Linked DNA regions of Caenorhabditis elegans. The protein of the gene in region 1 purifies or fractionates together with the protein of each later gene. This does not show direct contact. Each region holds a gene or a part of one and is shown on either strand. Other genes may lie near its edges. The genes, in order: cuc-1, R160.10, acbp-1 and fkb-1.

The links.
Region 2: the proteins of cuc-1 (region 1) and R160.10 fractionate together in Caenorhabditis elegans (co-fractionation; one large-scale study listed by BioGRID). This does not show direct contact.
Region 3: the proteins of cuc-1 (region 1) and acbp-1 fractionate together in Caenorhabditis elegans (co-fractionation; one large-scale study listed by BioGRID). This does not show direct contact.
Region 4: the proteins of cuc-1 (region 1) and fkb-1 fractionate together in Caenorhabditis elegans (co-fractionation; one large-scale study listed by BioGRID). This does not show direct contact.

What each region holds. Positions count from the first base shown.
Region 1 is NC_003281.10:7,859,966-7,863,016, forward strand, and holds cuc-1 (Copper transport protein ATOX1), read right to left. Parts: upstream 1,021-3,051; 5' UTR 975-1,020; coding exon 966-974; intron 887-965; coding exon 814-886; intron 768-813; coding exon 640-767; 3' UTR 501-639; downstream 1-500. Other genes in the region: tomm-7 (Mitochondrial import receptor subunit TOM7 homolog), read left to right, coding at 45-83; snr-5 (putative small nuclear ribonucleoprotein F), read left to right, coding at 2,107-2,203, 2,254-2,356, 2,464-2,521; putative transporter slc-17.3, read right to left, coding at 2,677-2,922, 2,975-3,051.
Region 2 is NC_003284.9:4,366,505-4,369,475, reverse strand, and holds R160.10 (uncharacterized protein), read left to right. Parts: upstream 1-1,961; 5' UTR 1,962-1,963; coding exon 1,964-2,040; intron 2,041-2,100; coding exon 2,101-2,308; 3' UTR 2,309-2,450; downstream 2,451-2,971. Other genes in the region: R160.4 (DUF4845 domain-containing protein), read left to right, coding at 626-681, 732-933.
Region 3 is NC_003279.8:4,635,229-4,638,163, forward strand, and holds acbp-1 (Acyl-CoA-binding protein homolog 1), read right to left. Parts: upstream 1,152-2,935; 5' UTR 1,114-1,151; coding exon 1,102-1,113; intron 836-1,101; coding exon 587-835; 3' UTR 518-586; downstream 1-517. Other genes in the region: ssb-1 (Lupus La protein), read left to right, coding at 1-174; got-2.1 (Aspartate aminotransferase), read right to left, coding at 2,307-2,580, 2,860-2,935. UniProt on the Caenorhabditis elegans protein: Binds medium- and long-chain acyl-CoA esters with very high affinity and may function as an intracellular carrier of acyl-CoA esters.
Region 4 is NC_003282.8:11,034,587-11,037,734, reverse strand, and holds fkb-1 (peptidylprolyl isomerase), read right to left. Parts: upstream 1,154-3,148; 5' UTR 1,150-1,153; coding exon 1,022-1,149; intron 977-1,021; coding exon 865-976; intron 814-864; coding exon 634-813; 3' UTR 561-633; downstream 1-560.

The DNA.
Region 1 (3,051 bases):
ACACCTATGCTTTCAATTCAAAGATTTAAGAATTCATATTTCAGATCCTCCCTCTTTCCGCCATGAGTCTTCTCTGGGGATAGTTTATCTACGAAAGCAGCCGGGTGGCCGTTGGATCGTTCTGAATCTCATAGTTTTGTTAGCCTCCACTCATTGTTTTCTTCTTTTATTAATAAACAGTTAAAGTTTCCTTGAGAACAATGTGGTTGAGCAACGCGAACAAATCATCAATGTAAATTTCAGCGGATTCGTTACGACGTGTCTCACCACATCGTTAGTAGGATTTCAGAACACATTAAGTAGAAATCAAGAGACGCGGAATAGTGAAATGAAAATGCGACGTTTACCTTTCTGAGAAGGACGGTTACACCGGATGTACGCGTCGACGCTTTAATCTAATAAGGATAAGGTTCAATGCATGAAAAGGTGTTTACATTTGAAACCTTCTATTTCGGTTAAAAGAACTCGAATGAAATATTGCATCAGAAAATCTATAGTTTAGAAAATGCGTTTATTTTTAGAATAGGACAATTTTACAAGCAAGAGTCATAAATTAATACAAAAATTACAGAAATGTCAAAAAATAACGATATTCACAACCATTCGGATAGAAATTAAAGAGACAATCAAAAGGGTCATTTATTGTAGTTGCTTGATCTCTTTTCCTGTTTTCTTCAGAGCTTCAAGTACATCAGATGCTGGTAAATCAGTTGTAACTGTGATTTTCTTGGTTTCCACGTTAATATCGTCAATTTTGATTTTGTCTTCTGTAGAATAATAGGATTAATTTGATTAACAAAAAGTAAACCAAACCTCCAAGCTTTCCTAGAACTTTTCGCGCAGCATTTGCACAGCCATTGCATGTCATGCCCATTTCGAAAACGTACTGAAAATGTTCAAATTATTTTTTTTTTCACAAATATGAGAATATTTAATTGTAATTTGTAAAAAGTTAAATAATTTACCTGTGTCATGATATTTGTTGAGTCAGAAATCTGGAAACTCTGCTTCTGCTTGCCTGAAAAACGTTAATTTGAATGATTGGAATTAGTACAGTCGAAAAGAAATGAACAAAGAGACGCAAAATGGAGAGACAGTGATAGGGCGACTCGTGGTCAATGCTTTATCTCTGAGAATTTGCATCATTCGACATTTTTTGATCAAGTTTTCAAGAAACTGCGATAATTAAAAAAGGAACTATTGAGATGGGACAACTCGAATGGTTTAAGCAACTTTTAAATGTTTTCCAGTTTTTTTTTTTACTTTTTGGAAAAATTTATGGAAAAATGAGAAAGAAGCTTAGAAACAGGATAAAGACACCAAATGACGTCACAGCTTTGCATTAATGCATCTTCTCTATTTTCTCGGCGTCTCACTCATCTTCTACTTTGAAACGAGCGTTTTTATGGGGTGAGAAAATTATCGATTTTAAGGGTGATCAGTTAAAGAGAAAAATAAAGACGATAACATTTTGATGGAGCCTGTTAAATGTTGTGAATTGGAAGAAATAGAGCCTTATATAAAGAACTGTTTTATCATCTACAGTAGTCCGAAAGCCATTTAGCAGGATATTCGAGGCTGAAGAGAAGTTAACTATATTTAGATAGCATAACTTATTAAAACTCAAAAAGTACAAGGACATTGAAAAAGCGGAAAATACAAATACTCAGTTTAAATTAACTAAAAAACCAAAACCCACATCTTTTTCATGCATGATGCATGGGTATGATTAATTTTATGTCGTCAAGTATGGTGTCGCATACGCAGTCTGCAGTATGTCGTATTATCTGATGCTAGCGCAACTTTCGAAAATTCAAGGTTCTTTTTTCATTTTTATGGAGGATTTCGCAGCGTTTTAACCTTTTTAAATGTGTTTTGTTGAGTTTATGTTTATTAAAACAACTTTGTCACTATTAGAAAATAGATACATCTTTCCATCTCACTGAAAAAACCGTCAGATGGGTTTTAAACTTCTTAAATTGTTCAAACATAACAATTGTGATTCGGAAACGCTTTGAATGTATTTTTATTGCTTAAATTACTTGTGTCCTTCACTATTTTCGATATCCCTCGTTTCAAAATATATTATTTAAAAATATTTCAGAAATGTCCGCAGTTCAACCAGTGAACCCAAAACCGTTCCTCAACAGTCTCACCGGAAAGTTTGTCGTTTGCAAACTGAAGTGGGGAATGGAGTACAAAGGTTTGTATTGACATAATGAAATATTTCACCAAAAGCGCCAAATGTTTAAGGTGTCCTTGTTGCTGTCGACTCCTACATGAATCTGCAGCTGGCTCACGCCGAGGAGTACATTGACGGAAACAGTCAAGGAAATCTCGGAGAGATTCTTATCCGGTTGGTGCATTTTTTAAAAGAAAAAATTCAAGCCGTAGAAACTAAAGTTATTACAATCTTATGCACATTTATATCGTAGTAAATCTTGAAAAATGTTCTAACTTTAGATGCAACAACGTTCTCTACGTGGGAGGCGTGGACGGAGAAAACGAGACGAGTGCCTAAATTCTTCAAACCCTTCTCAACAATTGATCTTATGTTCACAAGTTTTCTGTCTTTTTCGCACATTCTTAATCAATAAATTATAATTATCTTATTAAAGAAGTTTTTAAAATATTTATTAAATGAAAAAAAAAATCATCAGCAAATTATGTAAATTATCAAAGACACAGCGAATCCTCTTTCACCAACGTGGCGCTCATTTCATTTTTGACATCTACTTCTTCAACAACTACAATACCATTCTCAATTGTCTTCAGCTTCTCTTTCTCATTCATCTCCTGATCATCCTCAACTTTAGCCCAATCTTGTAATTCTCCTGATCCGAATAACAAGAATATTGAACCAGAGAAAATATGTGCCAGTGAGCATCCTATGAAGATATTCTGCCACTCCGCAGCGGTTCCCTAAGAATATGGATAGCAAGTAGATTTGTCAAAAATCTCTAAAATAGCTTACGTCTTTTCTGAACATGCTCATGACTGCAGGAGTTGTCAATCTACCAATCATTGCAACAAACATTGAAATTGCAGACA
Region 2 (2,971 bases), on another chromosome or scaffold:
GGGAAGTAAGTTTGAAAAAATTTTAAAGAGTATGCCGAGATACATTTTGATTTGCAATCAAAAGGATCCATAAATTAATCTCTTAAAATTTTAAAGAATGGATCGTAAATGACAAAAGTACAGTAAAGTTGGGTTCATTATTTTTAAAACTTAAAATGCCAGTACTAAAAAAAACTTTCAAAACTTTTGTTAATGATTTAAGAATTAGTTTGCAATTTTATTTTAAATTTCTTCGTATTTTTAAGTCGTTTCTCTAAACTTTTATAAAATTTATTAAGGATTTTTTCCTTATTTTTGAACATGTTCATTGTCAGTGAGAAAATAAGTAGAAAGGCAGGAAATTTCGGGGAAACATATATTTTTTTCAAAACTGAGAGCATATATTTTTCAGGTCTGAATGCAATACTATTGTAGACATTTGTCATTGTTAGCACTGCACAGATTAATTATTGATCTCCTTTTTTTGTTAATGAATGTTGATGTTACATATGTCAATTTCTGAACAATTTTTCATATCGATTTTGGTTGAAACCAATAAGTATACCTGTATATTTAATTAATTATCCTTCTTAACTTTTTGTTAGTTTCAATTACTATTTCGCAAACCTGCATGACTTGTTTCAACATGGACATCATCAAATGCATCTATCTCATCTTGCTCCTAATTTGGTCAATATTTTTGTAAGTGACGATGATCTGAAATTATTTTTAAATAGTTATGGAAATTATAGCATCATCCTATTCATAACTCTCATCAGAGAATGGTTCTTCCCACAGCCCCGTTTTTTCGAAAGATTTGAGGATGAAGAGGAGCCAAGTCGTCCACAAGGATTTGTATCTCTTGACGTGGAGCAACTGGAGCAAATGCATGGGCTGGAAGTATATGCTGCCAACAAAGTGATCATAGACACTGTTCCACTTCTTCCTATTTAAAGTAAGAAAAATGTTCGTAAATTTTTTCAAAATTTTATTACAGACGATCAACATGCACCATATGTATTCATAATTTGTAACAACGATAAAATTGAAATACAGTAGTATAGACTATTTCTTTTTAGTAGCTCTCGAATAACTTTTTTGTGGATAAATTTTAGCGTGCCCTTCCGTTTTGGTTAATATTTTGGTATTGTTAGGTTGCCAAACCATAACTATTATTTTGGTTTGATCAGAGGTGTGCGGTAATTGGTAAGTTGAGCAATTGCTGGTTTTTGAATTTGCTGCAGTGAGCAATTTTGGAACTGGCTGAAATTGCCCAAATTTCGGATTACTGGAATTCTTAAACTTTTCTTAAACCATATTTATGATTGTAAAATTTAACCTTGACGTAATTCATGTGTTAATTATTTCGTCAGACATTTTTTTTCTGTGTGAGGAGTAAAAATTCTGGTCTAAAATGCATACATGTACACGCTTTTATAAAACATTTCAATTCTCATTATCGGCGATTGAAAAATATATCGCACACATCTCATTTCAAGATTCAGATACCTCATTTTTATACAACTCAAACTTTACCATGGACGTCCAGAATTTAGTGACCATTGGATTTTTGATAGTTATCGGTTTGACTTCGGCGGTGGTCATGTAATTTCTTATTCCACTTTCAAAAAATAATTCAATTTTATCCAAAATTTTAGAATTTGGTACTTCATTGCCGAGGTGTTTCAAAACATGCATAAACACATTGCTCGAACCACAGTCATCCGAGTTGAAGCTACCATTTAGAGGTTGCTGTCATCTATTTTTTTCAAATTTTTTAATGGGAATTAATTTCAGAAATTGTACTGCTAATCATAGATGTTTCCTGATACACCCTACCGATTGCCCATTACTTTTTTACACCAATAAACGTATTTAAATTATTACCGATTTATCTTCTATTACTATATCCCACAAGGTTGTTAATCCTTGTCTCATATTTATAAGTTTCATTTTTTGTTCAACATTCCGAATTATTTGTCAGATGGAAACAGCTCAAACAATCAAATATCATGTTCCGCCGATGCTCATTTTTTTGGTTGTTGTCCTCTCGTGTCTCAGGTGAGAACAAAGTTTTCAGGAGTCTTTTAAAAAACAAAATGAACATTTTTGAATTTCCAGCATTGGTTTTTTGGTAGACTACATCATGCAAAAGTACGGTTGCTGTGGACGGAGAGGAAGTTGCTGCCGGCCAGAGCTGGAAGGAGATGAGGACGCTGAGAACGCTCAAGGGTCTATACCCCTAGCATCACTTGGAACAACTAACGACCCATTACCAGGAAGACTACCATTGCTGTCACGAGCTCCTATCAACAATTCACGCGTTTAAGTGTCTTATTGTATTATTTTCCCAATTGCTATAACCCGCATAATCATACCACACATTTCAATAAATTGTCATAATTATCATTGAAACCTAGAGAGAACATAAGTTTGTGTTTAATTTTTATATGTATAAAGTTATTACTGAATAAATTGGCAATTTCAAAATGATTCCATTTAGCCCCAATTTGCAATATATACGAAAATTAGATCAATAGGTTTTTGTCATGTGTCCCTTTTTTTCGTACTGTTGTGTAGTATCCAGTTATAGAATTATTTCCAGACATTACAAAAACATTCTCTATATATCAACAAACTCGAATTATTTTGTTTTAAAAGCGTCGCTGCTCAGAGAATTCAATGGCTCCGTATCACACTGAGCAGCGACTCATGCAAATTCAAATTGTAATTGTTTACTGAGTTTGAATCTATGCACTCATAGATTATTGGCTCGGCCAGTACATACTTGCAAGTCTCTCAATCAATTAAGAATAGAGGTTTATGTTTTTGATGTGTTTTTTACACAGTATTTGCTCTTCGCCTCCAATCCCCCTTGCCCTCTTCACCACTTTTTCATGTTCCCTTTCCAACATTTTTTTGTGCGCATATAGCATCTGCCAATTTTCTTCCATCTACTCAATCTGTGCATTGCCCCGTGATGAGCAGCGAG
Region 3 (2,935 bases), on another chromosome or scaffold:
GGACGAGGAGGCCGCGGTGGTCGTGGAGGTCGTGGTGGAAGAGGTGGACGCGGAGACCGCCGAGGTGATAAGCGGTCAGCAAACGATGAAGGTGCAGATGGATCTGATGAGCCAAAGGCTAAGCGTACTGTGTTCGCTGAGGATGGTGCTCCAGCTGCTGCTGCCGCCGAGTAATTTCATCTTTTGTTGAACAAACCCAAAAATCTCATTCTTTTTTTTTTACTTTTTCCTCCATTTTTTGTTGTTATCATTATTGTTGTGTTGTCCCCCCATTCATTAATCTTGAATACCCTCATTTTGTTGACTTCTCACTCTTTTTAACATCTCTTTTACTGTATTATTACCAATTTAAAAGAGTTGCGGTTTTGATTTATAAATTATTCGGATAAACCAAAGTTTTAGAGTAGCAGACCGGAAAAAAAGAAATTGCAGATCACTCGGAACAGGGAACATGGAAAATGCATTCTTCTGAAAGTTCAAGTTTGCTGATCAAATAGGCAACTTTATGTCTAAATTCTTCGGAATCACAGAATCTTCATTACAAAAATATAAATGTTAAAAAAACGTATTATCAAACAGAATTTATTTAGGCTCCGTACTTGGCGATGAGCTCCTCAACAAGAGCAACATAGGCCTTCTGAGCATCATCCTTTGCGAGTCCCTTCTTCTCATCCCAGGCAGACCACTTGGCTTTTCCCTTCAAATCGAACATTCCTGGCTTATCGGTGGTGTTGTCGCCGACGGTTCCTTGTTTGAACAGAGCATAGAGCTTGAGAAGCTCATCATTCGATGGGGAAGTCTTGAGGGTCTTAACGGTGGCAGCAGCGTCGTCGAACTGAAAATTGAAAAGACTTAGTGAGATTTTATTGGGAAAATATCAACATTTTGCTTCAAAAAATCTAAAGTAGTCTCAAATTCAGAAAAAAATCGCCAAATTATAAAAATGTCTCTTTTTCAATTTTGACTAAGTTCCCTCCGCTATTTTGAAGGGAATTTGCCAACATTGAAAAATCACGGTTTTACAATTATTGCTTTCTGTTGTTGTCATTATTCTGAATTTGAGATTATTTTGGATTTTCTACATCGGAATTTGAAGCTTACCGAGAGGGTCATTTTGAAGACGATGAGAAGAGCTTGTTGAAAGTTTGAACCTGAAAATTAAGAGATTTTAAAATAATGAAACATGAAAAATAATGATGAAAGGGCACTTTGTATATTGTATTTATCTTGACGTACACAACCACGCACTAGAAGTATACAGTCAGAAAAACGGACACTCTTATCATTTGTTATCACTAAAAAATCGTATCAATTTTTTGAGAATACAACAACGTTTCGTGGTCAATATCAAACTATGTGATCACACCATCACAGAAGAAGGACAAAATATGAAAATGTTTAGAAAAAAGAAAGAAATTTTGGCAATTTTCAGTTCTTTTCTTGAAAAAAATTATTAACTTTTGATAAGACACCGATGGTTTTAGCAAAAGCGTTATTACCTAATCGCCAGCAATTGTTAATTTAAAAATACGGTGCCGGGTCTCGAAGCGACTGAAACTTCACAGCTACAGTACTCGCATGTTCAACAACTGCATAGTTTTTGCAATTAAGTGAAGCTGGTGGGTACTGTAGCTGCAAGGTTTCGATCGTGCCAAGACCAGGTGTCGTGTTGTTGCGTCGAAACTCGCAAAATTCTGCAATTGAGTAATAGGAAAAAGTTCGTTTTTTTTTTTGGGCAAAGAAGGATTTTTTTTTGGTTTTTCGATCTTAAAAACTCTTTAAAAAATTTCAATTTTTGGTCGGAAGGAAGAAAAATTAGATTTTTAAAAATATTTTTTAGTTTTAATAGTTTTTTGGTGAAACTCTTGATCGGGAGCCCTAAAAACAACAATTTTTGATATAAATAATGGAAAAATGGAGGAAGTTGAAATTTTCTCATTGAATGAGCTCCGTATCTTATTAAAAACGGATAAAGGCCACAATTTTTAGACTTTCTCAATTTTGTTGGAAATAGAAATTTGACTACAAAACTATAAAAACTCCAAGTTTCACCCACCAATAATAAAATTGATTTAAAGCCTAAAAATAAAAAAACAGATTGAAATTAAAAAAAAAAAGACAAACAAACAAAGGAAGAAAAACATCAAAGATAAGATAATGGGAATGTGAACCCAAAAGAAGAAAGAAAAAATGTTGACGAAAAAAGAAAATCCAAAAACCATTTTATAGACTTTTTAAAAAAGCAAAACCTGAATTTCAATAAAACCGGAAAGAAACTTAGACACGTAGAGAACTTAGAGAAATCATTACTTGGTGACGTCATGGAGAGCTTTAGCCAAATATGCAACATTTCCAGTATTAATACCAGAAATAGAAATACGTCCATCATTTGTCAAGTACACTGAGTGCTCTTTGATGAGCTTTTGAACTTGTTTCTCATTGATTCCAGTGAAACAAAACATTCCAATTTGATTGGTAATATGATCCCAGTTGAGAGTAGATCCTTCAGCTTTCAGGCCGTCTTTTAGAGCCGTACGCATTGATTTGATACGGTCAGCCATTAGTTTCACATCTTCCAGCCTGAAATAATCATTTTTATAGATTTCGTTTTTCCAATATTTCAAAAATAAAAAAGATCCATTTTTTTGAAAAATAGCTAATTTGCCCATTATTTAAATATTTTTAAAAGCAAATTTTCGGCAACTACAGTACTCTTTAAAGGCACACACTCTTTGGAATTTTAGAAAATCAGTCGCTTAGAAACCGGTTTTTCGCAAATCTCATTTTTTTTGGTCCAAAATTATTTTTTTCAGTTTCTGATCTTTAAATTTCTGACTTCACAAACTCAGAAACTCCTACCAAGATTTCTTCAACTCTGGATTACTCAAAATCCGTGAAGCAATTCTTGCTCCATGAAGTGGTGGCATTGAGATCA
Region 4 (3,148 bases), on another chromosome or scaffold:
TACAAGGCTCACAAATACTCTCACAGGAGGCTCTCAAGGAATACTCAATTTACTCGTGTGTTGAGAGAAGACAACGAAGAGCAAGAATCGACCTCAATTTATAACTATTGTTAGGATGGAGCATGAACAAAAAAAAAGAGAAAAGAAGCATTCGGATCGTTGGTGCAATAATTCATGGATGCCAGTTTTAATTGGGTTTCTACTAATAGAATTCCAATTTTTTGTTTATTGTTCGACATTTTCAAAAATGCATTTCCTTTTTCGATTCGTGCTTTTTATTTACAGAGGAACCACATACTTGAATTCTAATATTTACGAAACTGTTGATTCCAGATTTTCAGATTAAAATAATCATTCTTAAAAACTAAGAAAGCAAGGCATTACTAGGTAAGAAGAGAAAAAGGTGTATGGAAATTGATAAATGTCTCGCACACCCTATCATTTTCGCTGACAGAGTGCAATACAAGGTGATAAAGAGAAGCGAGACGCGGTTGTGATCAATGGCCGCAGACGGTCCAAATATATAGAATGGGCATGTTTATAAAGACAAAAAAAAAAACTGCAAAAAAAAATTATACTCTGAGAACATGAATAAGTTACAAAAGGCACGTTTTCTAAATATCCGTAGTTCGTTTACAATTCTTCTCCGTCTCTGTCAATCTTCATGAGCTCAACGTCGAACTTGAGGACAGAGTTGCCTGGAATCTTTGGTGGGGCTCCACGTTCTCCGTATCCAAGGTGTGGTGGAATTGTGAGAATACGACGCTCTCCGACGCACATGTTAAGAAGTCCTTGATCCCATCCCTTGATCACCTATAATTTCAATTTTAATTATTGATATTGGTTTTTTCTTTAAAAACTAACATTTCCTTGTCCAAGAGTGAAAGTGAATTCTTCATTGCGAGTGCGGCTGGAATCAAATTCAGTTCCATCGAGAAGGGTTCCGGTGTAGTGCATGTGCAATTGATCACCCTTTCTGTAAATTTAACATTTTTATTTTAATTAAAAAGAGTAAGCTTACCTGGATTTCTGAACGCAGTTCTCGGCACGCTTCTTGACTCCAATTTGCAATTTATCGATTTTCTGCTCATCGGCAGCATATGCGATCGCCAATAGGCACAAAAGTCCAACGATAACAGCGGTTTTCATGATCCTACAACAATACAATTGATTTTTAGAAGCACAATACAACGAAAAATTATTGAAAAAATACGTTATGAATAGAAAAATGGACAGAGAAATCAGTGCAAAAGAGCAATCGAAGGTGTGCAAACAAAAGTCAAGCAAACGTGGCGTTGTGACGCAGAGAAAACGAGTAATGGGTCAGCAAAAGTTGTTGGCGCAACTTTTGTCGGATTTTTAACTCATAGTTCATAGTTTTTGAGTTTTCCCGAGTTTTAAACAGATTTTTACCGTTTTCTTTACAAATTTTACAAAATAATTCAGTTTTTCTATTATAAATAATTAATTTCAGACAAAATGAGTGCCAAATCTCTCGCAAAGGCTGCCTCAAAGCCTCGGCATCAATCCACTCCGTTCCCAAAAACGGAACAGATTGGTTTTCAACTGAAACATTCAAAAATCCAGTAAAAACGAGGAAATTTAGTGCACATGGGATAGATGTGATCATCGCGGGTTCTATACGATTTTAGTTTCTTCTGTGAATCTCCTCTCTACCTAATGAGTCCTGACAGAATACCGGCAGTATTCTGGGGTCTCATTAGGTTTTAGTTTCTTCTGTGAATCTCCACTCTAACTAATGAGTCCTGACAGAATACCGGCAGTATTCTGGGGTCTCAGTAGGTTTTAGTTTCTTCTGTGAATCTCCTCTCTACCTAATGAGTCCTGACAGAATACCGGCAGTATTCTGGGGTCTCATTAGGTTTTAGTTTCTTCTGTGAATCTCCACTCTACCTAATGAGTCCTGACAGAATACCGGCAGTATTCTGGGGTCTCATTAGGTTTTAGTTTCATTTCCAACTCTCCACTAAACCTAATGAGTCCTGACAGAATACCGGCAGTATTCTGGGGTCTCAGTAGGTTTTAGTTTCTTCTGCGAATCTCCTCTCTACCTAATGAGTCCTGACAGAATACCGGCAGTATTCTGGGGTCTCATTAGGTTTTAGTTTCTTCTGTGAGTCTCATCTCTACCTAATGAGTCCTGACAGAATACCGGCAGTATTCTGGGGTCTCATTAGGTTTTAGTTTCATCTGTGAATCTCCACTCTAACTAATGAGTCCTGACAGAATACCGGCAGTATTCTGGGGTCTCATTAGGTTTTAGTTTCTTCTGTGAATCTCCTCTCTACCTAATGAGTCCTGACAGAATACCGGCAGTATTCTGGGGTCTCATTAGGTTTTAGTTTCTTCTGTGAGTCTCCTCTCTACCTAATGAGTCCTGGCAGAATACCGGCAGTATTCTGGGGTCTCATTAGGTTTTAGTTTCTTCTGTGAGTCTCCTCTTTACCTAATGAGTCCTGACAGAATACCGGCAGTATTCTGGGGTCTCATTAGGTTTTAGTTTCTTCTGTGAATCTCCTCTCTACCTAATGAGTCCTGACAGAATACCGGCAGTATTCTGGGGTCTCATTAGGTTTTAGTTTCTTCTGTGAATCTCCACTCTAACTAATGAGTCCTGACAGAATACCGGCAGTATTCTGGGGTCTCAGTAGGTTTTAGTTTCTTCTGTGAATCTCCTCTCTACCTAATGAGTCCTGACAGAATACCGGCAGTATTCTGGGGTCTCATTAGGTTTTAGTTTCATTTCCAACTCTCCACTCTACCTAATGAGTCCTGACAGAATACCGGCAGTATTCTGGGGTCTCAGTAGGTTTTAGTTTCTTCTGTGAATCTCCTCTCTACCTGATGAGTCCTGACAGAATATCGGCAGTATTCTGGGGTCTCATTAGGTTTTAGTTTCTTCTGTGAGTCTCCTCTCTACCTAATGAGTCCTGACAGAATACCGGCAGTATTCTGGGGTCTCATTAGGTTTTAGTTTCTTCTGTGAATCTCCACTCTACCTAATGAGTCCTGACAGAATACCGGCAGTATTCTGGGGTCTCATTAGGTTTTAGTTTCATTTCCAACTCTCCACTAAACCTAATGAGTCCTGACAGAATACCGGCAGTATTCTGGGGTCTCAGTAGGT